4 linked regions of the Tamandua tetradactyla genome follow. The protein of the gene in region 1 purifies or fractionates together with the protein of each later gene. This does not show direct contact. Links are inferred from orthologs where the notes say so. Each region holds a gene or a part of one and is shown in the gene's direction. Other genes may lie near its edges. The genes, in order: SF3B1, SNRPB, SON and PRPF3.

Region 1 (7,781 bases):
ATTAAGGCACCAGGAAGAGGTTACCTTCACTCAAGAAAGGCTGATGAAGTTCAGAGTTTCTCTCTCAATTGGAAAGGCACATGGTGAACATGGCATCTGCTAGCTTTCTCTTCAGGCTTCTTATTTCATAAAGCTCCCCCAGGGATGTGTTCCTTCTTTATCTCCAAAGGTCTTTGGTGGTGTGGGCTCTGGCTCTCATCATTTTTCTGGCTCTAAAAAAGGGACGGTCTCTAAAATGTTTCCTCTTTTAAAAAATCTAGTCACGGCCCACCTGGAATGGGTGGAGTCACATCTCTCTCTAATCAAAAGTTACCACCCACAATTGGGTGAGTCACATCTCCATGGGAACAATCAAAAGCTCCAAGTCAGCAATATTGAATGAGGATTAAAGAACAAGGCTTTTCTGGTGTCCTCCACAGATTCAAACTGGCACAGGGATTTAAAACTTAAAATGTACAGAGTTCCTATCTTGAATGATGGAAGTGTTTTGGTAATGAATGGTAGGATGGTAATACAACATTGTGAACATAATTAACAATGCTGAAATATATATCTTAATGTGGACAAATGGAGAAATATTAGGTTATGTATGGTAATAGGTCAAAATGTTTTAAAAATCCTTGAAACTGCATTATACAAATAGTGAACCCTAAGTTAAACCATGGACTATAGTTAATAGTATGACTATAAAAATATACTTTCACAATTGTAACAAATATACCATATCAGTGCAAAGTGTTAACTGTAGGGAAGATATGGTGTTTTACTTTGCTTATGCTTCTGGGAAACAATATACCAAAAATGGGTTGGCTTTTACAAAAGGAGTTTATTAAGTTACAAATTATAGTTCTAAGGCCATAAAAATGTCCAAACTAAGGCATCTAGAGAAAGATACCTTGACTCAAGAAAGGCTGATCACATCTGGAACACTTCTGTCAGCTGAGAAGGCATGTGGCTGCCATTTGATGGTGGCTTCTGATTTCAAACAGCTCCCCTGGGGGTGTTTTCTTTCTGCATCTGCAAACATCTCTTCTGTGTACATCTCTGTCTGTGTCAGCTCTGAAATTTTTCCCCCAAAATGCTTCCCTCTTAAAGGACTCCAATAAGTGGATTAAGGCCCCACCCACAACTGAGTGGGTCTCATTTCCATAGAAATAACTTAATCAAATAGATCCCACCCAGACAATAGGTCTGCCCCCACAAGACTGAATTAGAAAAAAGAACATGGCTTTTCTGGGGTACATAATCGTTTCAAACCAGCACATATGGGAATTCTATATTTTATTCATGATTACTCTATAAACCCAAAACTTCTGTAATAAAAAAATAGTGGATCAAAGACCTGAATATAAAAACTAGAACTATAAAACAGCTAGAGGAAAACAGAGGGATCCTCTTTAGCAGCTTGTGTTAGTCAATGGTTTCTTGGACTTTATACCCAAAGCATGAACAACAAAACAAATAAGTAAATGGGAACTCACCAAAATAAAAACTTTAGTGCTTCTAAGGACTTCATCATGAGAGCAAAATAACAACCTACACAATGGAAGAAAATATTTGGAAACCACATATCTGATGAGAGTTTAATATCAGACTATATACAGAAATCCTACAACTCAACAACAAAAAGACAACTCAGTTTAAAAAAATGGGCTAAAGACTTGAATAGACATTTCTCCAAGAAGATACATTAACGGCCAAAAAGCACATGAAAATATGTTCAACGTTATTAGCCATTAGGGAAAGGCAAATCAAAACTATGATGAGATACCATTCCACACTCACTAGAATGGCTACTATTTTTAAAAACATGGAAAATTACAAGTATTAGAGAGGATTCAGAGAAATAGGAAGACCCAGTCATTCATGGGAACACAAAATGTTGTAGCTGTAGTGAAGGACAATTTCGTGGTTCCTCAGAAAGTTAAGTATAGAATTACCACATGATCCAGCAATTTCTCTTCTAGGTATATACCCCAAAGAATCAAAAGAATGAACTCAAATGGATATTTGCTATTTTGGTTTCCTAAGCTGCTTTAAGTAGATATCATAAAATGGTTTGGCTTAAATGAATTTATTTGCTTATGGTTAGGGTTTGGAAACTTGTCTAAATCAAGGTATCATTAAGGTAATGTTTTCTTTATGAAGACCAGCTGCTGGTGATCCTTGGCTCCTCTGCCACATGGCAATATCTGTTAGTCTCTTCCTTCTCTTTTGAGTTTTATTGATTTCACGTTCTTGCTTCTGTAGCTCTCTCTCTCTTTTGAGAGAGAATACTTAAGAATTCTTTCTTAAGAATACTTAAGAAAGGCCAGTGGGTCCGGAATACTTCTGTCAGCCGGAAAGGCACGTGGCTGGCATCTGCTGGTCCTTGTTCTGGTTCTGTTGCTTCTGGTTCTGTTGCTTCTGGCTTCTGATGCCAGTGGTTTCCTCTCTAAGCCTGTGTGGGCCTTCACTTAGCTCCTCCGGGACACAACTCTGGTTCTGGCCTGCTTAGCATCTTGTGGGAAGGCATGTGGGGAAATCTGCTGGGCTCTTCCGGTGGCTAGGCATCTGCTCTCTCTGTCAGCATCTAAGCATCTCAAAAGATCTCTGGCTGTGTCAGCTCTGAAGCAAATATTCTTCAAGAATCTGCATCTTAGATTTCTCCAAAATGTTTTCCCTTTTAAAGGACTCTAGTAAACTAATCAAGACCCACCTTGAATGGGTGGAGTCACATCTCCATCTATTCAAAAGGCCACACCCAAACTGGCATGTCACATCTCCATGGAAACAATTCAAAGTTTCCCATACTAAACAATAGGTCTGACAAGATTGGATCAGAATTAAAACAGCTTTTCTGGGGTACCTAATAGTTTCAAACGAGCACAGATGTCATCTGTTAATTGTTAAAGTTATAAAGTTATAAAAAGGAGGGCTAGATCACTCTCTCTGACTTGTAAACAAAAAAAATCTCACCAGAGGAGACAACCCACTGTGCGTAATATCTGATTATTATATATTAATATTATTTTAAAAATGGAAAGTGAAAAGACTTGAAAAACAAACTTAACTTGTTCCTTACTATCTGAATGTTCAGTTCGCTATGTCATTGAAGATAAATTAGAGTGTCAAAAATTAGAGTGTCCTCCAGAGAAGTCTCCCTTGATCATTGGCAAAGTTTTTCAAATTTTACTATCTTATATATGTCTTTACCATACAGAAGCATCTTAAAATTTAAGAACCCAGAGAAATATGCACATAATACAAAGTGCCAGTAAACTCAGCTTCTCTCTACCTTGGAAAGATAAGGAAGGACATGGGATATCCACGTTATAGCAGCTTTTCATTTTGTTAACACTTTTTTTCTGATTATAAAAATAATAAATGCTTATGGGAAAAGCCCTAAATTTTATAAAGAAAAAAATTAGCCATGATCCCACCATTCATAAACACCTATCTGTTAATATAGTGTGGTAAATTTCTGTTGCATATATATTTTTACACGTCTGAAGTCGTCCAGCATTAACAAATTTCTTTTTTAGAAACATGAGCAATGCAATGTTCTTGTGATTCTTTTTTGTTAACATGGATGAATTATTTGTTTGCTGATTTTTGATGGATAATAACCCTTTCTCCAATTTTTCATTTATTTTTTATTATTTAAAAATATACTACTTTACATATACAAAATGATATATGTAATCTACGAATAGGTCATAGAGCATAATAATATAATGAATATTCACAGATCATTCTGTCAACTCAAGAACTTGGAATTTTACCAATAATTTGTATAAATTATACACATGCTCTTATCTCACTCGTCTGCCTCTCCCAACTATTGTTTAACCTAATAATCAATGAAAATTAAATAACTGAAAATTTTCAATCCATAAACTTAATTTTTACATTGATATTAATAAAAATCCCTTTTTTTTAAACTGAAGTTTGAATCTCTTATACAGTGAGGTAAACTGTTTCCTCTGTGTTAGCTCTAATCTGGATCCCTACTTATTTTACCAGCCTGCTTCCAGAGACTCAGCTTCCCTTCTGAGCTCTGCTTCTCCAACCCTGAAGTCCAAGGTCAGCGTGACAATACGAGGTTATACTGTTACATTCAGTCACAGTAGAAAAAAAAGATCGCTATAAGATGATCTATAAAAGTTGCTGATTTAGAAAGGACGTTTAAAATTTAAAGAAGCATTTCAACGTTGTTAACAATGACTATCAAAGTTTTTCTAAGAACCCATAAAGTTAAAAGGCTTTAAAAGCGTTTTAAGGTTCTTGCCTGCAACTTAGAAATTGTATGGTGGTGCACAACTGCTATTTTGTAACTCTAGTTTTTCTCTCATTTCTTAAGTGGGTTTAGCGACAATTTGCCTACTTGACTGCTCTGTTTTTGAGGTTCAGTAATTTGGGAGCTTATGTTGTAACGGAACTGCTACCCAAACGAGAGGCAATTATTTAAAAAAAAAAAAAAAGGAAAAAAAATGGTCTTAAATTATATCGCGAAGAATAAGACTTATGATCGTCTCCATAAGTAATTACTCGAAAAAGCTGAGACAAATGCTAAAGAAAGCTTTTCTCGGTCTCCAAGACGCCTTCTACTGAATTGGAGAAAGATCCACCATAATATTCCGTACAATATTCTTAACTGCTTTGCGGAAGGCACTTTCTCCTAGGACAAAATTACTCAATTACGATTGCGGGTCACAATAGACCCGCTTCAGGGCCCACCCTTGGCCCCTCCCACACCCACAATGCGCCTCGCTGCTCCCTGCAGGCGGCTGCTCTATCACGTGTCACCCAACCGAGCGCGCTCCCGTTTGGCGCCTGCGCAGAAAGTAACTCCCAGCTATTTTTCTCCGTGGGTGCGGCGACGAGCGGAAGTTCTTGGGAGCGCCAGTTCCGTCTGTGTGTTGGAGTGGACAAAATGGCGAAGATCGCCAAGACTCACGAAGGTAAGCCATCTTTGCTTGCTAACGGACTTCTTCCGCTACCTAGACTGCTAACAGTCTGTCTTCCTAGGTTTCTGCCTTTTCCTGTGTATGCGTGTGTGTTTGTTTTTAGTAGGAGGCCGAGTCTGCGGTTTGTGGCCTAGGTCGCCTCCAGCGATGCAGGCCTCTGCTCTGTGTAATGGCGTCCTACTTAAACATTCCAGACAAGCGCTTTGTTCCGTGTTAGGGTGCTGCTCCTGGAGCGTTGCTTCTCCTCTTTGACCAGTGGGCCTCGTTTAAACGGTCTACTAAAGAGGATTCTAGGGCAAGAGGGGATCCGGGAAATGGGCCTGGGAGTCTCGCCGTTTGGAAGTGCTGTCAGCGCAATTTATACATAGGAAGAGTCAGAAAGACATTGAAAAATGGCAACCTCTTTTATAGCAGTATTAAATTGGGTTTGGTTAAACCAAGGCCCATTACTCTTAACCTTGGATAGTATGTGTATCTGCAGGCTTCTAGGCTACTTGCTTGTTTTTTTTTGTACGAAGTGATTTGGGAATGAAATAATGATAGTACTTTCCCCTTGTTCACTTTTAGTGTATTATTGGTCTTTTTCTTTGGAAATTCGTGTTTGCGGAGCTAGAGGAACAAGAGAAAGTCGCTTTTAATTTTATTGATGATCGAAGCTTTCAAACTAGTTGATTTATGGAATACGGAGTATATGAAATTAGGAACATGTTGCTAATAGGCAGGAGTCTGTTAGTGAGTACTAAGAGCAGGTACAGATATTATAGGAAATGGGGTTCCTTTTCAGAAAAGACGTGGGAAGTTGGAGCTGCATTCCTTGATTTTTTACGTGGAATCTGGTATTTTCACTCTTCCAAGAGAGTCACTTTTATTTCACACTCTGTTTTTAGATGTGTGGCTTGGTGTTGTTAGTTTGTGAGAGTTGAAGACTACGACCATCAACTGTTTTACAGTCCAGTGGGGGAAAGAGACGTGTATCCATGTACATTCTGTTTATGAGACCAAGTGAATGCTTAACGAGAAGTACAAGTAGTCTGGGGAATCTACAGAACGGAATGAAAAGTTTATGCTTATGGTTATTTGTCCGTAGTCTTGGGAAGATCAATCAGTTTTATATTAGGGTGGCCATCTGAGCCTCAGAACATTTTGTAACAAGGCACTGTCCTGATGGGTAACCGTGTTTTGAGTAGTCTGCTATGCCAGGAAAAGTAGAGTGCAACAGAGAAATAGAAGATGAATCTGGATAGGTAAGTTGGGTCCAGTATGTAAATAGCATTCAGTTGTTGGGCTACTACAAGGAAACGAAGTCCAGCTCTCTGCAACTTAAGAAACATACTAATGAATGCTTACTATTCTTGTTATTTAGGATTTAAACACTGCTGTAGTACAGACATGTTTATAGGTATTTCTCTTGTCTTTAAAAAAACATATCTTTTGTAAGATACTGGAAAATATAAAAATGATTTTTGTTCATTCAAGAATAGATTATACAGTTGGGGCATTTTGTGGCTTTTATTACTTGTATATTGGTATCTTCATGGTAAGATAACCCTTAGGCATGAAGATTGATAAAGTTCTAGCCAGCTTTCCTGCAATTTAGAAAACCGCCTAAAAGTCTTGGTCCATGAAAGATTGTAACTCACTGACCAAAATTCCTTTTTTAGGAATATTCTTTCTATAAAATGTGAATTATCTGATGCCACAAAGAAAGTATGGAACATTCAGTTTAACGTTTGAGTACTGTTTATGTATAAGGCATTGCCTGTCACTGTGGAATATAAAAAAATAAAGATGTGTCTTCTACCTTCTAGGAGCTTGCAGTCTAATAGAGGAAGTAGCTATGTTTAAGACAAAGGGGTTTTTAATAGCAAAGCATAGTCTTTATTTAACTTCGTGCTCCCTTCATATTTTCCTGGAGAACTCTAGTTCATAGTCCATTTCTGTTTTCACTTGTTAAGCCATCTCAGATAACATTGAGTAGAATTAATTTTTGAATTATTTGTCCTACCATAGCACTCAGTATGTATCTTTAATTATATTTGAATATTCTGTTGGGTTAAGTTTTTCTCTTCCATTTGACTCAGATTGTGTACAGGAACCTTACCCTAGTATCCCAAGTATCTAGTATAAAAGGAGTGCTCAGATATTAAACCAAAATATATTTAGAGATTTGTACTGTAATTATTAAGATAGTTTCATGGGAAAGGGGCAGACACATTGGTTTGGCTGAGATAGGGGGAAAGCTGAATTTAGACATGTATTGGGAACCTCTTAATCTGAGAGTAAGAAAGGTTAGGTTAGTGTCAAATGTTAGGTTAGCATATGGGCTTTGTTTGAGTCTGGCCTCCCAGTGACCGTTAAATAAAGTGCTGTATCCCTCCTTGCCAGTCCCCATTCCCGTGTAACTGCTTACTTTTGTGTTTTTGGAAGGTAACTGGTTGTATGAAGGATGATGTAGAGGGAGTTGGAGCAACTATCTTAAGGCTACTGAGAGGAGGAGGACTTGGACTTAAACGCGACTATGATAGAAGGATTTTAGAAAGCAACTTTAAAAAAATACTTGTTTAAATTTTTGTTTTAGAGTTGTCCATAATGTTGCCTTTTAAAGGAAGATTGTATAATCTTTTCATCCTACATAATATGGATGTATTGTAAAAACAATTTTATTGTTGTGCCTTGTAATTTGTTTTTAAAGCTGTGGCTGCAACAGTAGTTTTTACTTTCATCCTGTGAGATAAATAATGTGTGTAACTTCAAGTAGATTATTTTTTGCCTTTGTACATGGCTCTTTTCATAGGCTATTACTTAACTGAGCCAAATTGATAACTTTTTTTA
Region 2 (6,978 bases), on another chromosome or scaffold:
TGCCTGTGGCATCTGGACAAGACCTAGTAAGAGAGGACCCAGCCAGATTGGTTAGGAGAACCAATTGGTTTGGAGAACTGGGGAGTTCAAACTCAAGTAGTTTCATGTATTCTTCCTGATCTCATCACTCGTTCCACTCCAAAAAAGTCTCTGGGCCTACCCCTTCTTAGCCTTTTCATTTGACCATCCTGATACCCTGTCCCCTTCTTTGAGCTGTGACCTTTCACTCAGAGCTCACCATCATTCTTCCTCACCTTTAGTTTCAGAATTGTCTTTATCATTATGATTTTGCTGGGTTTTCTGAAAAGCAGCCGTGGATTGTGAAAAATTAATGTCAATTTTAGTATGGAAATGTTTGATTTAGTGATCTCAATGGTGTGGGGACCTGACAAAAGAGCTTGTCAAAATACTTCTACTGGAGGGTAGCAAGGCTGATACCTTGTGTAATGAGCCCTTTTGAGAGCCATCTGAGGGTCACAGAGCAGATGTGGGGAAGGGAGACAATAATCGTGAACAATCTGACATCAAGTGGTTGTGGAATCAGGTATGGTGATTCAGCTCTAACCTAAATTTAAATATTGGTGCATATTTTTCTTATATATGCAAAATAAGCATATATAAGTTTTGTATCCATTTTTTTCCTAAAAGAAAACAGGATTCTTGGCAAGCGCAAGATTCTTTCACAGTATAGTCTTTTTCTGTTAGTAAATGTCATACTGTGCTTTTTTAGTTCCTCTTCCTTCCAATATGCATAATATATATATATGGGATAAAATCCATATTCTCATTGTGTTTAGAGTGTTTTTATGTAGCCCTGTACCTTATTCTTTAATTTTAATACAGCAAATTGCTTTGGAGAATAGCCATTCTCAATCTTTTCACTTCTCCCACACAGAAGTAATGCATAAATTGACACCAGCTTTGGTTCTGAGAATTCCCTTATCTGAGGTTAGCTGAAACTGTCAGCTATTTCTTTACCACTCAAAGAGATATATAAGGAACCTTTTTAAACCAAATACAAGACCCATCTACAGACCCATTCCCAAACTTGAATATGCCCACCTAGGACCTGTCTGTATCTCCCCTCTACTCCTTGGAAATTACTGTTAAAAACCACTGCCCCTTCAAGTAGGCCAGCAGAAGAACCTGGAAACATGCCAATCTGAACTCAAATCCCACTACTTAACATTACTGTGTGAGAGTGCAAGTTTTTATAATTATTTTAAATTTCTTTTTGGTTTGCAAAGATGGTGGTACCAATCTCTCCCATCCCAGATGCTCTTCCTATCAAGACCTGGAGTATTTTTCCATTGTAACTGGTCTGGCTTTGGAATCTGATTTTATCATAAGAAGTGGCAGATGTTGCAGAATTTCTGAGGCTAGGCCTCTCTTGCTGCCCTGAGACCATCATGTGAGGATGCCTGGACCGTCTCACTGCTGGAGAATGAGAGGCCATCTGGAGAGAGAGGTTCAACTGATAGTTAGCACCAAACACCAGATGTGGGTGAGGCTACTAGGATTATCCAGCTCCAGTCAATCTGCCAAATAGTCACATGAGTGTCCCCAGGTAAGAGCAACAGAAGACTCACTATTCAACCACAGGATCATAAGATATAATTTTGTTTTAAGGCACCAGTTTGGGAAGGGGAAGTTGCTATACAGCAATAGACAACAATTTCATAGTAGTAGCTAATGGTTAATTGAATGCTTTCTCCATGCCAGACATGGCACTAGGTTTCTTAATTGCATTCTCTCATTTCATCCTTCCAGTATTGCCTGTCAAGTTGGTAATATTATCTTCATTTTACATAAGCATAAAGATGTTAATTAACACACGTAAGGTCACCCAGCACTGAGCCCATGCTTTAACTACTAGGCTATTTGCTAAACGTTTAATTCTGTTGTCCCAGACTATACTGCAACCCATCATTTTCACTTTCTATCTCCTAAGCAGCCACCATTTGACTAAATATCATACATTCAGTAGGATTTACTGCTGTCTCCTATGGACCAGAAATTGTGCTAGGGACTGAGTATAAAAGTGAATCACGGTGGTATCTTGGTATCCAAGTTAAGCTGAAAACACACATACACACTCACCCCTACCTGGAATACGGGTCAAAAACACTGAGTGCCAATACAGGGACCTCTGAGTTACTATTAAGAGCTATTTTGCCAAATACATGCTATTGCCAGGCACTCTTCTGAGCATTTAACTCTCACACCTTCTGTGGGAGGCATGTTGTTTTCTTGTGTCTGTCAACCTGTAGATGAAGAGATAAAGGCTCAGAGATGAAATGTCTTGCCCAAGGTTTCACAGCCACGAGGTGGCAGAGTCAGATCTGGAATCTAGGCCCTTCTGGCTCTTTAGCTGTTCTCTTGCCCAGAAGTCACCCTGTGTTAGAAGACATGCATCCATGCATGCATTCAAAAATATTTACTTAGCATATGCTAAGGCCAGGTAATGTTATTGGGATATAAAGCCTCCGCCCTCATGGAGCTTATCTTCTAGTGAGAAAGACAGACAATAAACCAAATAAATAAGTGTATAAAGTAACAGAGTGGTAAGTGTTGAAAGAAAAATAAAGCAGGACAAGGGAAAAGGTAGGGAAAGGCTCTCTGAGGAGGTGTGAGCAGAGACCTGAAGGAAGTGAAGACCCCAGCAATGGGAATATCTGAGGTGGGAGGGGGAGGGCAAAGCCCCTGAGACTCAAGATTTCCTTGCTGGGTTTGAGGAACAGCAGGGAGACCAGTGTGGCTGGAGCTTGATAAATGAGGGGAAAGTGGAAGGAGATGAAGTTGTAGAGCAAGGCAGCAGGATTTCATTGCACATGTACTGGGAAGTCATTTGGAAGTGGAGAGCAGGGCAATGAAATAATCTGATAGAATCCCAGTTTATCATAGAAGGATTCCTGAGGCTGCTGTGAAAGCAGAGAGACCAGTTAGGGGGGCTCATTCAGCGATCCAAGATTGATGATAATGGCTAGGGCTGTGGCGGTAGCAGTGGAGGGAGTGAGGAGAGTCAGATGCAAGACATTTCGAAGACAGAGCTCACAGGATTTGCTGATGGACTGATTATGAGGTGGGAGAGAAAGAGAGGAGTCAAAGATGCTTTCAAGTTTGTCATTTTGATTTTTTAACCTAAGCAATTGTGTGAATGGTGGTGTTGCCTCTTGTGAGATGGGAGGCATGTAAGAATTAAGAATTAGAATTCTTAATTCTAGGAAGAGAGGATAGAATTAAGAATTCAATTTTCAAAATTTTAAACTTAATATCCATATTAGGCATCCATATCAAACAAGAGGCTGGATATAAAAGACCCAAAGTTAAATGAAGGGACCAGCGTTAGAGGAATACACTTGAAAGTCATCAGTCTTGGGACTGCATGAGAGTCATTCATTCAACAACAGTTATTGAGCTCTTATTTTGTGCTAAGCAGTGCTCTAGGCACTGCCAAAGAGAACAATACACAAAGAAACCCCCTACCCTCACAGAGCTTATGTTCTAATGGGGGTGGGTAAGCTAAGTAACAAAAATATATAGTATGTTAGATGGCAATAAATGCTAAGGAGAAAAATAAGGCAGAGGTGATGGGTGGAAAGGTATTTTTAAACAGGTTGGCCCAGGAAGTCCTTACTGACAAAATTTTCTTTGAGCTTAAGCGTGAAGGATGTTTGGGCATGTGCTGACGTACATGCCCCCTACTAGGCCTGTGGGATGAGCATCCCTGGCAGCCGCAACAGCAAATGTAAAGGCAAGAGAACGTGAAGCAAATTCACGGAAAAGGCAGAGAAGGTGTGTCTGGAGAAGGGAGAGGTAGGAAGAATCTATTACGTAAAGAGAAGGGGAAGGCAGATCGAACAGGAACTTCTCAAAGGTTCTCCGAGAAGTCCAAAGCTTGAAGCCCCGCCCCCGTCCGGAACGCGCGGCGCAGCACGGGAGCCGGAACTCAGCCACCTGGTACCGGGACCGGAAGTGCATTTCTACCCGGCCGCATTTTAGTAACGGCTCCATTTCCTGTAGCGGCGGCGGGAATCGGATCGCTGTCGGGCGTCTAGGCCTCTGCAGAGGCCAATCCGGCGGGAATCGGGACCATCGGGAACCGCCACCATGGTGAGGGGGCGCGGGCCGGCGGCGCGAGAGTCTCCGAGTCTGTATTGGAGTGAGGGCCGCGGCTGCGCGGGGGGAAGAAGTCATGGGTTGGATCTGCTAATGGCGGTGAAGGCCCGAGCCGCGGCCGCTGGGACCGGGTAGAGGCGACCTGGAGCCTGCAGTTCGGCGTGGTGGGGAGTGGAAAGTTGGAACCCAGGAATGCAGGGTGGGGGGGAGCGTGTAACCGCTTCTCCCGAAACCGCTATAGCTACAGTGCCTGGGACTTGGTAGCCACTAAGTAAACTTGCTGCATAAGTATATGTCCGGGCTTTCGGCGCCGGCACCAGGAGCCGGAGGTGGGCCAGGGAGGACCGCGGAAAAGGCTCAGACTTGTGAAAGAGGGTGAGGGGCGGAGACCGAGTTGCGGCGTCCGGTGTGGGGTAGGGCGGGGAGTTGTGGCCCGAAACAAAAGATACTTCCCGGGAGACGTGGATGGGGAAGAGGGAACGGGAGAGTGAATGAGATTATTTGGAGGAGTTCAACTCACTTATTTAGTATATCTGTACTGAGTGTCTGACTTCTCAGGTTCTGGGGCTACAAATTGAAATGTGTCACCGAGTTCGCATATCCTTGGGGACACGGATAATAAATAATCATAACACAGTGTAACTAGTTCAGCGTTAGGCAAAAGTAACGGCGCAGGTTGATGCGGGGTAAGAATGCTTTCGGGAATGGATGATTCCTGAGCAGAGTCCTAAAAGATTTGTCAGAATCTTTTCCAGCAGAAGATGGAAGGAAATACTATATAGACTGGGAATTGCAAGAGCAAAGGCATGTAGGGTAGCATAGTTAAAAGTTACTGGGGGTTGGGGCGGGGCGGGAGAGGGGAGGAGGAAAAGGAAGGAAGAGGTAGAAGATGAGACTGGAGGACGTGGAAGGAGCCTGGTTACTAAAGGCCTTCGTGCTGCTTTATTCTGTTGGTGATGGGCATGTCATTGAAGGATTTTAACTAGCAAAATGACTAGACTCTGTGTTTAGAAAGATTACTCTAGCTGTTTTGTATTGGGTGAGATTTGGAAGCAGGGAAACCTGCTCGGTTACTGTTTGGAGAGTTGGTTAAATGAATAATCACTGGATTCAGGCCGACTGGGTTCTAACAGCTTCCCAGCTGTGAGACAAGGCAAGTTACCATAACCTCTCCTAGCCTCGATGGCCTCATCTGTAAAGTAGAAACAATAAGGGGATCATTTTGAGGATTAAATAAATTGACAGATATTTAGTGCTTATCAAGCATGTAATACACAGTGAACACCCAATAAGAATTAACTGTTAGAAGGCTGGTGAATGTTTCCATAAAGGTTTAGCTCCTTGTGATTAGAACCAGTTGAAAAGGTTATGTATGGGAGACAGACCCATATAACCAGGGGTCTCCCAGGTGGCACAGTACCTTGGTGGAGTCAAGGCTCTGAACCATGCATTTGTAAGAAGGTTCAGGACGTTGTCCTGGTGTGGGTTCAGGTAAACAGCAAGCACAGTGCCCACGACAAGAAGACACCCAATAAATAGGATGACTTCAGACTTGCCCCACATCAGACTGATGGGAGACAGATACCCAGATCAAATACCAGGTCATTTGTTTCTTGAAAGAAATCTGGAGGTCACGTTAAAAAGCAGAAATTTGTTGGGTTAATTTAGAAATAAAGTGTAGCAAGTTACATATTCTCAAAGGTCATTATGTGCTCAAATAGATTAGTGCTTTGGCTACCAGAAAATTTCCCTCTCTCAGAAGCACTTGGGGATTTCATACTCCTAACCTCCACGCTGATGAACTCCTTAGTGATAAGTTTCTTGTTGATTGGATTTCAGCCTTTTTATCACCAGTCCTATTCCAACTCTTTACTCTTTTTTTTTTTTTTTCTGGATGGGCAGGTTCCAGGAATTGCACCCGTGCCTCTAGCATGGTAGGCAAGAATTCTGCCACTGAGCCACTGTTACACTGCCCTCTCTGTCTTTTTAATCATATGGGTGTTCCATAGCACTTGGGTCAAGTCTATAATCTGCACAGTGGCAGATTATTAATCTCATGATGAGTAGATTTGATTGGTTTGGGCAATCCTGTACTCTAACTCCTGAAACTCTGATAACAATAATGCAGTATGAGAAAGATTAACTTTGAGGGGAGAATAGCAAAGCAGTGGGCATAGGTCAGGGCTGAAAACGGGGGTAAGATGGGAGAATTCAGGGAAAGGTCTATGAGTAGCTGGCAGCTGAGAATCTATTGAGAAACATAGGTGCATAGAAAAGAAGGCCTGACCCAGCTTCAGGAAGGACCAGGACCAAATGGGTGGAAAAGAGCTTGAATCTCATCCCCATTGATTTCTCCCTGCAGACTGTGGGCAAGAGCAGCAAGATGCTGCAGCACATCGACTACAGGATGAGGTGCATCCTACAAGATGGCCGCATCTTCATTGGCACCTTCAAGGCTTTTGACAAGCATATGAACTTGATTCTCTGTGACTGTGATGAGTTCAGGAAGATCAAGTAAGGAGGGGGCTGTGGGGCAGGGGGAGGTTGAGGCGGAGGACATTGGATGGGTGGGCCAAGTGACAGGTGCTGCTATAACTTGCCAGTTCCTCTCTTCCTGCGTTCACATTTTAGAGGGCAGACTTAAATGGGGTTATTGGACACTAAGAAATCTCCTTCCTTAGCGCCCAGCAAGCCTGAGTTCTAGTCTAGCAAAATAAAAGTTGTGAGGAGGGCTGCTAGGTTTTTGTTTCTCTGACCTTGTATGCCCCTGAGTACTGGGGTAAAGGGCTGTCGTGTTCTCCCTACAGGTGTGTAAGGGGGGAGAGCTTGATTTTCTGGCCTCATTGCCTATTTGTAAAG
Region 3 (7,606 bases), on another chromosome or scaffold:
CAAAGCAAAATAAGAGAGGTAGTTCTGTCCTCATGCAGCTTACATTCTCATGGGGAAATGGGAGATAGGAAACAAGTAAGAAAACAAATAGTAAAAATAAATACAGACAGTGGTTCAGGAAGGAAAACCAATGAAATGGGGTGGAGACTTGTTTAGTTGGAAACTTTAGGAAAGGCCTCCTTAAGAAGGTAATATTTAAGTTGCGACTTGAATAATGAGGCATTAACCATGCCAGTGGGTAGGAACAGATGCCAGTCCAACGCAGCTCTGTTGGGGAAATTGGCTTGACAGTAGGGATCGAGCACAGTGAAAAGAAAAAAAAAGGACATAAACGATCAGGCTACAAAGGCAGGCCGAAGCCAGATCCCAAAAGGCTTTGTATGGAACCAAAGGAATTAGGGTTTTATTCTAAGGGCTAAGGGAAGCTACTCAAGAGTTTAGGGTAATACATGAACTGATCATTTTTCCAGCAGAAGAAACAAAGGCTGAGATCTATTATGGAGTTACAATTGCCAGGACTTACATTTGACAGCACTGTCCATCTCTGCATTAATGATGTGATCGAAATATACATCAACATGTTTTTAATCTATATTAGGCACTTATTAATTTCTCAGTGGATATATTTTATAAGGCATAGGCCTAAAATAATTTCAGATAAGGAAATGTAGCATTTAGAATAGGACACCTCATTTCTACTATAGGGAAGTATTCAAATGACCACATAAATTCTGAGTTTAGAAAAGCAATTCAGACAAAACGAAGAACTTGAACAGCAACCTGGATATGGTTATCAGTTTATCGTTAGCAAATAACAGTTACTTCCCACTTTAAAACATGTTACCAGTATTTGAAATCTTTCCAGAGCACGAAGTGCCTGCATTTCCTGGGGCGACCAACACTTGCTTGACGTGGTGAGACTGTGCAAGTTTCCAGGCCAGTGTATGTTCCCTTCCTCCACTGCCAATTATCAGCACACGGGCTGACATGGCTGTCTGCAAAGCAGGAATTCAAAAGGCAAATGAAAACTGCAGAAAGAAAACCAGAGCTAACATTCAGAATGCACACACTTTAGAAATCATAAAATTTCTAAATCTGATGTTAAGTAGTAGTTTGTACTCACAAAAATGACATTTTAGTCCAGAGATTCATTTTTGAATAAAAAATTGGGAGGTGAGATAAATGACAGTACTAACAACTGCAAAGGAAGTATTTTAAAAATGAGATAGACTGGCCTAACGAACTTAAGTTAGGGAGTGAAATGGGGTTTTACCTCCTTACCTAAGAACAATCTTACTTCTTCGGGATTCAATTTTAGAAAATTTAATAATCATCAAGCCACAGTTTAGAAAAACAAATGTTGATATTTTAGACACAAAATTTAAAAACCATTTTTAACCCTCGAAATCTTCCAATAGTTATCATTGACAGAAAAATATTTAAGACTGGAGTAGGCAAACTTTTTCTGCAAAGGGCCAGTAGTGAATATTTTCAGGTTTAGGGGCTGTAAGGTCTTTGTTCAACTACTCAACTCTACTATGGTATCATAAAAGTAGTCTTAGCCTTAAGTAAATGAACAAGCATGGCTATGCTCCCCTAGAACTTAATTCTACATAAACAGGCAAGCCAAAATGAGGTTGTAGTTTACCTATTCTGGCTCTAAGCAATGGGAAGCCATCAGAAATTAAAAACGAATAATCAAGACTGTTTCAATAAAACTTTACTTATGGACTCTGAAATTTGAATTTCATGTGTCATTAAAATCAACATTCTTTTCTTCTAATCATTTAAAGATGTAAAAACCATTTTGAGCTTGACGGCTGTACAAAAAGGTTGGTGGACAGGACTTCTCACCTGAGTCATAGTTTGCTGACCCATGATTTAAGAAATTAGTGCTATATGTTAGGAAATTGGCAGAGAAGGCAAAAATCAAATTTGAACCCCTTTCACTTCAGTTATCTGCCCAGAATGGACATGAACGCTCCCTTCTCTACTCCAGGGAGTGACACTGGCTAAGCTCTATCTGTAATTGTTTCCTCACATCTTAAAGGACAGCAATTACGACAACTTGCCTTACAATGCTATATAAGGATTTAATTGAAATGACATGTATAATCAAATTAGTATAATCTCTGGCACTCAGCAACACAGAATTGTGGCACTGTATTTTTTCTGAAGCCATTTAATTATGCAGAAGGCAAATTCATATCAGAAAAACAGAAAACTGAAATCAACTTACTATGATATGCTAAAATTATATATCTACAGAAAAATCTAAGTTGATACTATAAAAACTAATATTTTCTTGTGTGCATTTACCACGTGTCAGGCACTATTATAAATGCTTTTCATGAATTACCTCACGTCAATTTCACAAGGTTTATATGAGGTAACCATTAGCATCTTCATTCTACAGATGAGGAACTGCGAGGTTCAGTGAGGGTAAGTAATCTATAGAGGACACACAAATTAAGGATTGAAGCCTGGAAACCAACTGAAGCAAAGTTTAAAAACATTTTTATTGTGGTAATATAGTTAACATAATATTTTCCATTTTAACCAATTTTAAGTGTAGAACCTGCGGCACTAATTACACTTAAAATTTTATGCTACCATAACCATCATACATTATCAGAAGTTTGTTGTCACCCAAAACAGAAACTCCACATTCCCCTGGTAACCTCAAATCTACTTCCTGTCTTTATGAATTGGCAAATTCTAGATATTTCATGTAAGTGCAACCATACAACGTCTGTTTTTTGAGTGTATGGCTTGTTTCATTTAACACGATTTCTAGACTCATTCAGGAAATTTAAGCAATTTTGCTTCAGATGCTCTAACAACTGAGATGGTGACCACTGAAAATTTGAGGAAGAAAAATTCTATATTATAGTTTCAGAAGGAGAGAAAAGTAATTTTAGTTTAATGGAAAACATTGACATTTCACTTGCCACATATAATAAGACATCTGAAATAAACATGTATTTAAATCTAGATAAAATATCATATTTAGTTTAAATGAGAGATGCAGTGAAGGAAAACTTTGCTAGTTACTAAAAAGTTGGTCACTGAAACAGCCTGATTCCAGAGTCAAGGGTATATACCTCGATTTGGGTTGAACTTCTGCCCCTTCCTACCTGGGAGACGTGAGTGACTTAAATAAGCAAGATTCTTGAGTCTCAGTCACCTTATATCTAAAATAGAAACTTACTAGAAGAGAAGAGTAAGAGAGCTAGGAAGTTATTGCATAGGATCTGACAAATATTACAAAGAAGAAACCAATTACATAGGTAGAGTAAATAATCACTAGTGTACATAACGGGGAAATACGGCAAAAAACATCAACTTACTCTTATGGCCTAAAAAAAGCATAAAGACACAAAAAGATAAAGCCCTCACATCGCAGAAAGTAGGAAAAGTGATAGATCAAATGTAAACCTCTGTTAATAGTAATAAGTGAAAAGCACATGGCCAGACCCACCCAATGCATTTTTTTAACAATGCGTTTTAAAATGATGAAAACGTCTACAGCCAAGCCAGTTTCTACAGCTTCACTTCTTAATAGTAAATTTCCAAATCAAAGCACAAGTGCAGTTTACCTAAAAACGGAGTGAGCTTACGCACCGACACAAAAACGTCCCGCGCTGCCGCCTCGCACACTCGCCGGCGTGCTGAGCCCGGGCGCACGCCGTGGCGGAAGTTGGCGGAGCAGGATCCGCCCCGCGCGCTCCCCCGCCCCGCCTCGCCCCTCTTGGTCGGCCAGGCCCAGGGTCCCCAGTGCAAGGTAATCAAGTGTGGTCCCCTCCCTCGGGCGCGGCCTAAGCTCTGACCAATGCCACCAAGCCATCACAGGCTTATCATGTAATACTGTAACATTGAGTGCCACGTAACGTCTCCATTCCTCTCCGAGTGCCTCCTGAGGTCTGAGGAGGGGAAACCTCCTGAACGCTAAACCAATGAGTAGCTCACTGTATGTTGCTATCGAGAGTCTGGACTGCCCAGTTACCGCGAAGTCTCGTCACACTGACTCCTAACGAGGCTGGAATGTATCAGACTCTAAAAACAGGTAGCTCAGGACCTCTGCCCTATTGCTAAGAAATTGAGGCCGATTATAGCATGCAACGAGAGAGAGTCGGGGTAAAAACACGTTCTAATCATGCTTCAGGGGGGTGGGGGCTGAGTAGTTCTTTCCCGGATGTATCCTTCTGACAGAACTGAACTTGGCGCCCCCGTGACGCTTGGAGGCCCTTTGTCAAGAACACTGTATTGCTTTTTGTTCCTCCATTTCACTGCCATAAATTTCGGGCGTTCAGTCGCTACACGAGGCCTATTAAGCCCACTAAAGAATAATGGGACTGACAACCTCAGCCGACACATTCGCCTCAAAACAGGCTTCTCCTGTAATGGCGCCTGCGTCAGACACTAACATGGCGGACGCGATCGTGCGCGGCGCAAACGTCAGCAGCTCTACCCCAGCCGCTCAGAAACAGTGGAGGAGAGCGGAGCCGTGCTCGTTCATTGGCTCTGCGTCGGAGCGCGCCCGTCTGGACGCTCCCACAGGAGCCAATCAGAGGGGCGAGAGACGGAACTGGCCGCTGCGCCGCTTCCCGAGGCATGCTGGGAGCCTGGAGGACTAGCGAGGAGGAGTTGAGAGAACGGAGCGGACGCCATGGCGACCAACATCGAGCAGATCTTTAGGTCTTTCGTGGTCAGTAAATTCCGGGAAATTCAACAGGAGCTGTCCAGGTAAACGCTTCCCAGACTTTTCTGTTCCAAAGGGACCGCTAGGGCCCGATGTAGCTTTTCACGGCACCTTTCTTCAGAGACGCCGTCGTTCGTCTGCTCAGGCGCCGCTACGGCCCCGCCTGGGCCTGGGATCCATTTTCCGCCGCCCCCCCATCCCGTCTCTCCTTTTCCCGCGGGGAACTTCACCCTTTCTTAGGTATCCTTAGACTCCTTCGTCGAGAGCCCTGTTAAGATGTTCGCTCTTCTCTTTGGGTTGGTCATCCCTTACCCTTTAGCAACTTGGAGGCCGGGTTGTCCACTAGGGACGGGCCTAGTTTTTTTCTCAGCTCCTCCTCCGCTGCCGCGTTTCCCCTCCCCCTCTCCGCCGATTTCGCCAGCCGGTGTCTAGGACCGGAAAGGGTCTCTAACGGCCGTTTTTTGGTTTATCTTAAATCCACGTTATTATTTCAAGCTTCGGACCGTTTAGGGGCCGGGATGCACTAGTTAGGTTATACGGACCTTAGTGTCCTGTGGCTTCCACCAGGCAACAGGGGATAGAGATCTACATTAAAATAGCTCAGATTAGTTCGTTAGCTATTTTGTCAAAATATCCGGGACGAGGGTGGTTAGGGGACTTTGAAATACCAGTAATTTCTTAAATTTTAGCGAATTGCAGGCAGGTTTTGTGTGTAGATTTAGTTTTTCTTACTACTCCATTCTTGTTGACATATTTGACCTACGCGGTGCTTTGCAATTGCCGTTTAGACTTTAATTGCACTTGGTTTCACGAAATTTGAAGGGTAAGCGATTTCCAGAGAAGTGGTTGTTTATTCAGAGAGGAAAACAGCGTGGGTCATGTTCAGTGGTTGTCTTTTAATACTTTCGCTTTGTATAAAATACTTATTTTTTCAAAGTATAGTTGTGGAAAGATCTTGAATAGTTGTTCTGAGTGTATTTTTGCTAATTATATTTCTAAGGTTGAGAACAAGAGCAGTATGTGAATTTGAAAATCGGCCAAAAACGTAACTGTAAATTAAGTGCCCAGATGAATTTAGGATTATTGAGGCTGTTTTTATTTTTGCAGAATTATATTGTTTTTAAAGTGAAAATGTGTCTATTCATAACACTGCGTCTTAAGTGGTATTCTTAGGATGAGGAGAGAAGAGGACCTAAGGAAATAGAATTTCAATAACTTTTTATAGTAGCATACAATAAGTCCTTGTGTTTCCTTAGTTTAATTGGTCGTTTTTGTAGTTTTAAAAAAGTCAGTTTTTCTATTGGAATGTGTTTTATTGTAGAAAATTGAGAAAACAAATGAGAAAGTGAAAATCGCATAGTTATTTCTGTTCTTTCATTTTTTCCTTTCCATATATATAAAGATATATTTGTTTTGAGAAGTCCCATCATCTTGAATTGTGGGTTTTTCATCTAGTGAATTGTGAACAAGTTTCTCCTTTATCACAGTCTCAGTATTTTGCAACATTTTTCATCACTGCATAGAATTGTGTTGTAGGGATATATTGTTGGGTATTTAGTTGTTCAAGATTTTCATGAGTTCAAAGTAATTGCAGTTAACATCCTGGTATCTTTCTCTTTGACACTGTCATGGTTATTTCCGTATAGACTGACCCCATCCTATTTTTTTTTGTTTGTTTAAGTGTTGCGTTCTCTGATTTTTAGATCCTGGTAATTGCGTATAAATACTTGGGCATAGTGTGAAATTAAGTGATTCGGGAAGAAAGAAAGCATTTTGTTATTAGAGGAATATGCAGTTTCCACTCAAACAACATGTATTGCATTATCAGTCTAAAAACGAATTTTGGATTATTTGCCATTTCACTGGGTCCCCCACTCCATCTGCTTTTACATGCATCCTGTAGGTAATGAGACTGACATGAAGATACTTCAGATATGCTCTGTTATTATTCTAGAGAGACAGTGGCTAAGAGTCAGCCCTGGTTTTGAATACCAACTTCACCTTTGAAAGTCGTGTGACCTTTGGTCAAATTTCTCCTCTCATTTTCTTCATTTCTCACATCAGGAGAATGCTGGTCTTCGAGGTTTGTTAGGGTTAAATGAGTTTAAAAATGTAGAACAGCGAGATACATCCTACTTAGCAGTCAGTAAATGTTAATTATTATTATTACATGATTTATTATTTTGGAAAACCAAATGTTCCTTAACATCTAATTACCTACTGATATTTTGTATTTTTTGATTCAGGACTTTTGTCAGGTATAGAAGCATAATTGTTTTATTTTTAACTAAAATTGAAGTTAAATAAATATTGAAAGTGTTGAAACTATTTGATTTTTCACAATTGTGTAAATTTACACAAATGGTAAAAATGGCTAGGTAAATGGCATATTCTTAGGGCAAAATGCCCTTTGGCCCTTAGATTGAAAACATAAACCCATTTGCTGTTAGTCTAATTAATCGTCATTTGTTTTATGTGACTTTTAAACACCATTATTATTTTTTTAATGCCAGGATTTTTGATAATTGGGTGAAAGTTAAATGTATTTATTTTTCTTTTTAAACTTCCTGGCATTTCAGAAACAGTTTAAACCTAACCAAAGACTGTAAGTAAGTCACCCTTTTTACTCAGTGTGCCCATGACCAACTTTGTGTTTCATGATGTTGGTGGTGATTGTGATTCATGCACAGGTGTGGCTTTATTGTTGTGATAGTTTTTAGTGTGATGTTCAAAAGTTAATATTTTTCTTTGAACTTTTGATTTGGCTTTTAATAATTTTTCTCCCTTGATAGAAATAGACAGGTAAACCAAAAGCCTCAGTGTAGATTTCTAGGGGTTTTGTATTTAAAAAAATAGGTGAACCTAGAAACTTTTTAAATTACTTTTTCTTAACTTTCAGAGTTT
Region 4 (7,495 bases), on another chromosome or scaffold:
TGTGTTGCATTCCGGCAGCTAGCAAACTAGAACAACCACCATCATCTTTGATCTTTCTATCCCATCTTTAGAGATATTTGGGCTACGGCCATTCTAACTCTTTCATGTTGGAAGGGGCTGTCACTAATATGGGGTAGGGAGATAGAACTAGCTGATGCTCTGGAGAGGCTGGGCCCTCTAGGTTTCAGGACTTATCTGGTCCGGGGACCCATCTGGAGGTTGTAAGTTTCCGGAAAGTTACCCTAGTTCATGGAACCTCTGGGAGTGACTCTTAGACCTAATTTTAAGTAAGCTTAGCCTATCCTTTGAAGGAATGTTTCATAAGGGTGAATCCCAAAATCGAGAGCTCGGCCTATCGATTTAGTTGTCCCCATTGCTTGCGAGAATATCAGAAATTCTCCAAATCAGAAAGTTGAATATTTCCCCCTTTCTCCCCAGTGCCCCAAGGAGACTTTGCAAATACTTCTTTATTCACTGCCCAAATTACTCTGGGATATATTGGGGCATCACACTAACCCGGACAAACCAACAAAATCTCACGCCCTGGGGCGGGCCGCGGTGGCTCAGCGGGCAAGAGTGCTTGCCTGCCGTGCCGGAGGACCCCGGTTCGATTCCCGGCCCCAGCCCATGTAAAAAACTAACAAACAAACAAAATATAATAAAACAAGAAAATGTTTAAAAATGTTTCCCTTTCTTCCTCCTTTCCTTCCTTCCATCTTTCCTTCCTTTCCTCCCTCTCTCTTTAAAAAAAAAAAAAAAAAAAAAAAAAAAAATCTCACGCCCTATTCAAGATTCCATGTATGCATGGTGTTCAACTAAATTGACCATACATGTTAAATTATAATGTGCTACCAAAAATTTAAATTTTGTACTAAATAAACATTTCTCCCTTTGGTCTCACACAGAACCTGAAGTTTTAAAATATGGATGATCTCATCCTTTACCCTGTATTCTGCTCTACTTTAATCCTGTCCAGATAGCTTCCTTCATATCTCTACTCAAAGTCTGATCCCTTTTTCAACTTTTTAAACAGTCCCTGTATGGGGTACTGCTGACTTTCTTAGCTTCAGAGCTCTTGAGTCTCAGGTCATACATAATCTTTTAATAGTCAAAAAGATCTGGATTCAACAGTGATCTTGTCAAGTTATTTAACATAAGTCCTTGATTTTCCTGTAAAATGGAGATAGTGGTACCTACAGGTTTGTGGTGAGGCTTAAATGAGATGATGTCTGTCAAGTACTTATTATAGTATCTCACACAGTAAGAATTCAATAAATTTTAGCAATTAATCTCTCAGCTGTGCCAATCAGAAAGCTGATCTTTTATTCCTCCTCACTCAATCCCTAGCATCCATTTAATCGCAGTCCTCTCTGGTGCTTTATGACCGCATGCCAAAACCCTGATCCCAGCTACCACCACAACTTTTCTATATATTTACAACTGCCATTTGATCAGTCCCCTACCTCATTGTCTGGTTCCATTCCTTTCACACTTTGGCCAGAATGATTATTCTAAACTGTAACACTGCTCTTGTCACTTTCATGCTTAAGCTGGTAATTGGTTCCCCATTGCTTTCAAGATAAAATCCAAAGGGGATTTTAAGGCCCTTCATGATTGAACCCAGCTTTTCTCTCTCTCCATTTGTCCCTTTCAAACACACTTTGGGATCATGGCATATACTGTTTTCTCCTTTTCCCCTGTATATCAACTTTTGGTTTGGATGTTCTCCGAGATGCCTTCCCTGATCCCTCTACCAGGTGTCCTTCTATGTATCTTGATAAGTTTACTTCTAGAATAACAGTTTATTTCTATAATCATGCTATACTGTGCTTTATTTCTTGTTTTTCTCCTTCTATTAACTTTCAGTTCCCCAGAGGCTGCATCTTCATCTTTTTTACCTCTCTAGTCCCATTACCTAGTATAATGCCCATTTAGATGCTCAATGTTTCTTGAAAGTATATAAAAAATTAGCAATGATTTATTGAATCCTACTATGTGTCAGGCATTGTACTACATGTATCTTTTATGTGATATTTAATCCTCACAGTACTCTTTTACAGTGAAAATAGTATTCTCATTGTATGATTGAGGAAACAGTCTTATAAAAATTACCCCAAGAAATCACTGCTAGTGATTGGGAACAATTGGGAAACTAAGGGTTTAAAACCATCTTGATTCCAAAAATTGTAAATAAAATCAATTTCCACAAAACTTTTCCTTATGGGGAATTGAACCCAGACTGTTAAGAGCACTGAAACAAAATTAAAGATTCATTACAACCCTGCAAAGCTGGGACTTGGGTTTTATCCCATTGTATCGTGCCTTCTTATCAGTGAAGGTGGGTTTTGGCATGTATTTCTTCAACTGTTTAAAACCAGTCATTTGATGTAGAAATTCCATGCTTCCTGGGAAATACTAATTTTCCGGCGAAACTACTATTCCAAGAAGACATCATGGAATTTTGGTTTTTGTCATTTGTAATCTAAAACATAACTGATTTTTTCCCCATTTCTCATATGAAACTGTGTCATAACTTTGGACACACTTTTTCAAACTATACTTTGCCTGCAAACATGCTTTTTGATATCAGAGATTTAGAGGATCAGAGCTCTGTTTGGAAGAAAGGGAAGAATACAAACTTCCTGATAAAATGTGGAAAGCAATACTGCCATTGCCATGTCTAACTCATTAATTGAATACTTGTTGGGTCTGGCACTATTCTAGATCCTAAGACAATATGAAACAGTTCTTGCCCTGAAGGAACTTCCGTCCTTTAGAAAGCAAAAACCAAACTTCAGCAGGCGCTGAGGCAAGCAAGACATTGCTGGAAAAGATTCATCCTTTAATTCAACAAATAATTATTAGGTACTTAATTGTGTCAGGTGCTATGGTGGACATTTAGGATATATCACTGAACAAAACAAAGATCCCTGCCCTAATGGAGTTTGCATTCTAGTAGAGGGAGTCAAACAATGAGCAATAAACAATAAGTAAATTATATAGTAATAGTAACATTTGACTAAAATTCTGAAGATGAGGAAGCAAACCATGTAGGCACCTGAAGAGCACTCTAGGAAGAAAGCAACAAGTACAAAGGCCTTGAGGTGAGATTATGCTTAGCAGTTCAAGGGGCAGCAAAATGGTCAGAACTCTGAAGCTGAATGAGTGAAGGGAAGAGCAATAATAGAGGTAAGGAGTGAGGCAGATCTTCTAGGGCATTTTACTAGAGACAATGGAAAACCACAGGATGGTTTTTAAATAGGGGAGTAATAAGATCTCTCTGATGTGTAAATATGATCACTGTGCTGTAGAAGCAAGAGAAAGGGATTCAGAGCCTACAATATTAATCCAGGGACTAATACTGTAGTAGTGGAGGTAATGAGAAGCAGGTGGATCTGTACATACTTTGAAGGTAGTGCCAGTGGAATTTGCTGATGGATTGGAGAGAAACAGGGTTCCATGATCTCTCCAAGGTTACTGGCCTGCATCACTAGAGGGATGAAATTGTCATTAACCAAGATGAGGAAGTAGGTGGGGATGGGGGGTTAGAATCAGGAGCTCAGTTTTGGTGGTAAAGTTAAGACATCTGTTATATATTTATGCAGGCTACTGGATATACTGTTTTGTTTCACGGCTTGTAGCTACCGTTTATTGAACTGCGGAAGGCACTTTTTAAACTATATTACCCTTATCCACGAATGTGATCCCCCGAGCAGCCCTATGATTTTTTTCCCCAAGTTTTATTCACACACCATACAACCCATCCAAGTGTGCAATCAATGGCTCTCGTTTGGATTTTTCAAAGTATCTTATTTTACAGGTGAGGAGAGGGGAAAAAGAAGGCTCGAGTTGCCTAATGTCACACAGTTGTGGGAGAGCTGGAGTTCAAGTCCAGGCAGTCCGGTTTTAGAACGTGTGCTCTTACTAAGTCGCTAAGCAATACTTAACTCTCACAGGGTGCAAGGCACGTGGTGGTAGGCGGTGAATAAGTATTTGTTCCGTCAATAAATGAATCAACGAAAAGGCAAGCTGGGGGTGGGGCGAGGTGTGGGCTATTTTCTCCAAAGTTCTCCTATACTCTTTTTCTTCCTGGGTGATTTCTGTGATTACTCTTAAGTTAGGGAGCGAAGGCTGAGGGAGGGGTGGGGTGGCAAATGCCAGTAATGGCTACTTATTCTACAGGGTTTTACTTTTTACCAGAAAGGCCGTGTTTGAGCTCGAACGCAGAAGCTCCACTTGCAGTTTATCGCACTTATTCTCTACGTGAGGAAAACTGCTAGCAACCCAATTTCCGCTTCGGGGAACACCAACTTTTTTGTAGCAATTTGCTTAATATTTCTCTAGCCGGGAAAACAAACCGCGGGGAACTTGAACGCAGGACCTTTCGGACCCCTCTACACATGAGGGACACCAGCAGGAACGTGGCGACTACGGCTGCGCGAACCCACAGTCCCGCCCCTCCCTCGTCACGTGCTGGGGGCCGGCGTGGCGGCGGCCGTGGCGGCAAGGACGGCGGGCCGTAAGGCGGTCCGAGGGCTTCCGGTTCCGGTGTAACGTTCGGGCTCCGTCTCAGGGGCTGAAGTTTGTGAGGTGAGTTGTAGCCCAGGGCCCAGAGGTGGCAACCTGCGGTCGGAGCGACTGGGGCCGGGGCTTGGTCACTGGGACTGTCGTAACGGGAGGGTTCAATGGGAAGGAGGCTGGAAGAAGTTTAAGGTTCCGTGGGAGAAGGGGTTGAAATGGGATTGTTGAGAGGAACAGGGCGGGGGCGGGGTGGGGATGGGGTGGGAGACTAGTAATGAGGTGAGGAGTTTGGGAAGGAAAAGGGGGGTTGGTGGTTGTCGGCTGGAGTTAAAGCCAGAAGAGGAGAGAGTAAAAATAGAAGAATGAGGATTTCCGGGGGGTCACTCGGATTCTAGCAAAGAAGAGCACGGAGTAAGGAATTCTTTCGGAAGATTGAATTCTGCAGCCTGCCCATTCAGATATCATTCTGCCTTCCTCCTTCTTCCACCCTCCCCCCACCACCACGCAGTTATTGTTGGATATTTGACTCGTGACAAAGCTAGTTACTATTTGAATATTTTAATTTTTGTCCACTAGCTGTTTCATTTGTACATTATCTTAAGAAAGATCGGTTTAAACTTGAATGCGTTTGTTAGTATAGTGCTTGGGCACCCATGATGGTACCTCGTTTATTGCTTTGTGTTTTCAAATTGCTTCCACTTTCTCGTCCATGATTCAGTTCTAGCGGACTGTATGCCCCGTTAGGGTGAGGATTCTTGTCTGTTTTATTTACTGCTGTTTGTATCTTCAGTGCCTACTACACTGATTGATAGTACTTGCTCAATGAATATTTATTGAATGAATTAAGTGCATTGTAGATATGGCAGTTTTCAGTTTAGGAGTAAACTGAGGCTCAGAGAAATTAATTAGCTTTATTCATTAACTTGCACAAGGTTGCTGGTAAAGGGCAGGGTGATGTCCAAATTCTTTAGTTTTATTTCTATCCTGTTTGAGCTCTTGTTGCCAGAGTTGTGTACCCACTATAGTCCTGAATACGCCTATTTAGAGTAATGGATATTTAACATGTAGAGATTGATAAGCCTGTTTCATTTGGGGACAGTAGGGCTTTTTCACTTAGCACCATAAATTATTTATTTAACTTGTCAGTGAGAAACATAGTCAGTTTTTAATACAACCTTCAACTTTACTTTCGTTCTTTTATTCTACTAGCTTTATTTATTTATACCAAAATTAAATTCACTATTTGACAATAGGTCTTACAGAGGGTAAACCTGCCAAGGATGTGGAAATTAATCAGACTCTGTCTTTTAGGAGAAAAGATGTCTTGAAACATCTTGAAAGATTGACTCCCAGATATATGGTACTGCTGGGAGGAGTTTAGTTTGGAAATTGAGATCAGTGTGATTTATTCTTTTAGGCACTATAGAGAAAAATCAGAGAAATAAAATGTTGTTTATGCCCATGAGAAGTTTTGAGATTTAGATAAACCAACATGTAAACATGAATAATGTTTTAAAGTAACACTAATTAGCATTAAATAACAAATACAAAGATTTTTTATTGAGAGTCCTTTATCATAGTGTTTCTCTGCTGAGCTAAAAAATAGAAGTGAAAAGGGAGAAGGTCAGAGTATATCCAGAATGAAGGTGTTCTTTTCTGAGCTGATGGATTACTCTTATCAAGTCAGAGAACGTGAGAGAGAACTGGTTATCTGGGTACAGAATTCCCACAGGGATGAATATAACTACAGAGAAATGAGACAGAACGTTCTTAAGGATTATGAGCTTTAGTACCAAATGACTTGCTTGTCATTTCTTAAGGAATGCTTATTGACATCCCTTAAGAGAAAGAAAACTTTTAATGGGTCAGGATTGGGTTAGGGAATGCATCCCCGGAAGTAGAAGAAATAGAAAAGCTGACTTCAGGATAGAGTCTGTCAGTTTAGTTTTCATGTTATACGTTTGCCAGGCCTTGTTGATAAGACAAGATTGGAAACAAAGCTAGAACTCATTTCTTAGACCAGATTATTCCCAGGGTTGGTTGACTTCTTTCACAGAGTTCATTGATCCACTGGTAATTACTGAGTTAGGTTTAAAAATCAAATGGAGAGTGGTGTGATGGTGGCTTAGTGGCAGAATTCTTGCCTGCCATGCCAGAGACCCGGGTTCGGTTCCTGGTGCCTGCCCGTGCCAAAAAAAAAAAATAATAATCAAATGGAATCTAGTTCTGCTTTGAAGTGTGGTTCTTGGGGAAAGTATTTTACTTTGAATAAACTGGAGGAACCTCCTTAAGGATTGAGAATATGGGTGGGAAAGGCTTTCCTGATGTATTAATCATTGCTCTGGGTCACTTTAACTTTTTCCTATCTTCTGTCTTAACCACTCTCCTGATTTGTTTTTAGGTGCAGTATCAAGTTCTATTTTATCTATCCTTCTACTTTTCCCAAAGAATGGCACTGTCTAAGAGGGAGCTGGATGAGCTGAAACCATGGATAGAGAAGACAGTGAAGAGGGTGCTGGGTTTCTCAGAGCCCACAGTGGTCACAGCAGCATTGAACTGTGTGGGAAAGGGCATGGATAAGAAGAAGGCAGCTGGTATGTACCTTTCTGAATCTTTTGACCTAACATTTAGGATGACCCTTTAAACATTGCTTCTAACATAACCAAAATTCTCTCTGTTGGGATCATCTGAAAAAAGGTCGGGCCACATTTTATTCCCTCCTGCTTTATATTGAAATAGCCTGAATAACTAATTTTGCTTTTGTTCTTTTGCTTACTTTCTATATATTATTTTTGGTATATTTTGAAACTCAGACTGACTCCCTAAGTTATATTTACTTAGGAAATATACTAAAGTTAGATAAATATATTAATATAGTGTCAGATTGACATCTAAACATTTAGAAGTCTTTATGAAATGCATGAAGAAAGTTGAGGGAGGTAGATTTTAATGGTAATTTTCCTACTATTTGGAA

Evidence for each region.
Region 2: the proteins of SF3B1 (region 1) and SNRPB purify together in Homo sapiens (co-immunoprecipitation; 4 studies listed by BioGRID and IntAct, with this or other methods). This does not show direct contact. The link is inferred for Tamandua tetradactyla from reciprocal best matches to the Homo sapiens genes SF3B1 and SNRPB.
Region 3: the proteins of SF3B1 (region 1) and SON purify together in Homo sapiens (co-immunoprecipitation; 3 studies listed by BioGRID and IntAct, with this or other methods). This does not show direct contact. The link is inferred for Tamandua tetradactyla from reciprocal best matches to the Homo sapiens genes SF3B1 and SON.
Region 4: the proteins of SF3B1 (region 1) and PRPF3 purify together in Homo sapiens (co-immunoprecipitation; 3 studies listed by BioGRID and IntAct, with this or other methods). This does not show direct contact. The link is inferred for Tamandua tetradactyla from reciprocal best matches to the Homo sapiens genes SF3B1 and PRPF3.

What each region holds. Positions count from the first base shown.
Region 1 is NC_135329.1:171,669,630-171,677,410, reverse strand, and holds the start of SF3B1 (splicing factor 3B subunit 1), read left to right. Parts: upstream 1-4,767; 5' UTR 4,768-4,915; coding exon 4,916-4,943; intron 4,944-7,781. UniProt on the Homo sapiens protein: Component of the 17S U2 SnRNP complex of the spliceosome, a large ribonucleoprotein complex that removes introns from transcribed pre-mRNAs.
Region 2 is NC_135327.1:24,251,610-24,258,587, reverse strand, and holds the start of SNRPB (small nuclear ribonucleoprotein-associated proteins B and B'), read left to right. Parts: upstream 1-3,970; 5' UTR 3,971-4,110; coding exon 4,111-4,113; intron 4,114-6,481; coding exon 6,482-6,633; intron 6,634-6,978. UniProt on the Homo sapiens protein: Plays a role in pre-mRNA splicing as a core component of the spliceosomal U1, U2, U4 and U5 small nuclear ribonucleoproteins (snRNPs), the building blocks of the spliceosome.
Region 3 is NC_135336.1:93,913,230-93,920,835, forward strand, and holds the start of SON (protein SON), read left to right. Parts: upstream 1-4,588; 5' UTR 4,589-4,669; coding exon 4,670-4,746; intron 4,747-7,606. UniProt on the Homo sapiens protein: RNA-binding protein that acts as a mRNA splicing cofactor by promoting efficient splicing of transcripts that possess weak splice sites.
Region 4 is NC_135330.1:5,492,093-5,499,587, reverse strand, and holds the start of PRPF3 (U4/U6 small nuclear ribonucleoprotein Prp3), read left to right. Parts: upstream 1-4,482; 5' UTR 4,483-4,590; intron 4,591-4,606; exon of another isoform or gene 4,607-4,713; intron 4,714-6,922; 5' UTR 6,923-6,970; coding exon 6,971-7,115; intron 7,116-7,495. UniProt on the Homo sapiens protein: Plays a role in pre-mRNA splicing as component of the U4/U6-U5 tri-snRNP complex that is involved in spliceosome assembly, and as component of the precatalytic spliceosome (spliceosome B complex).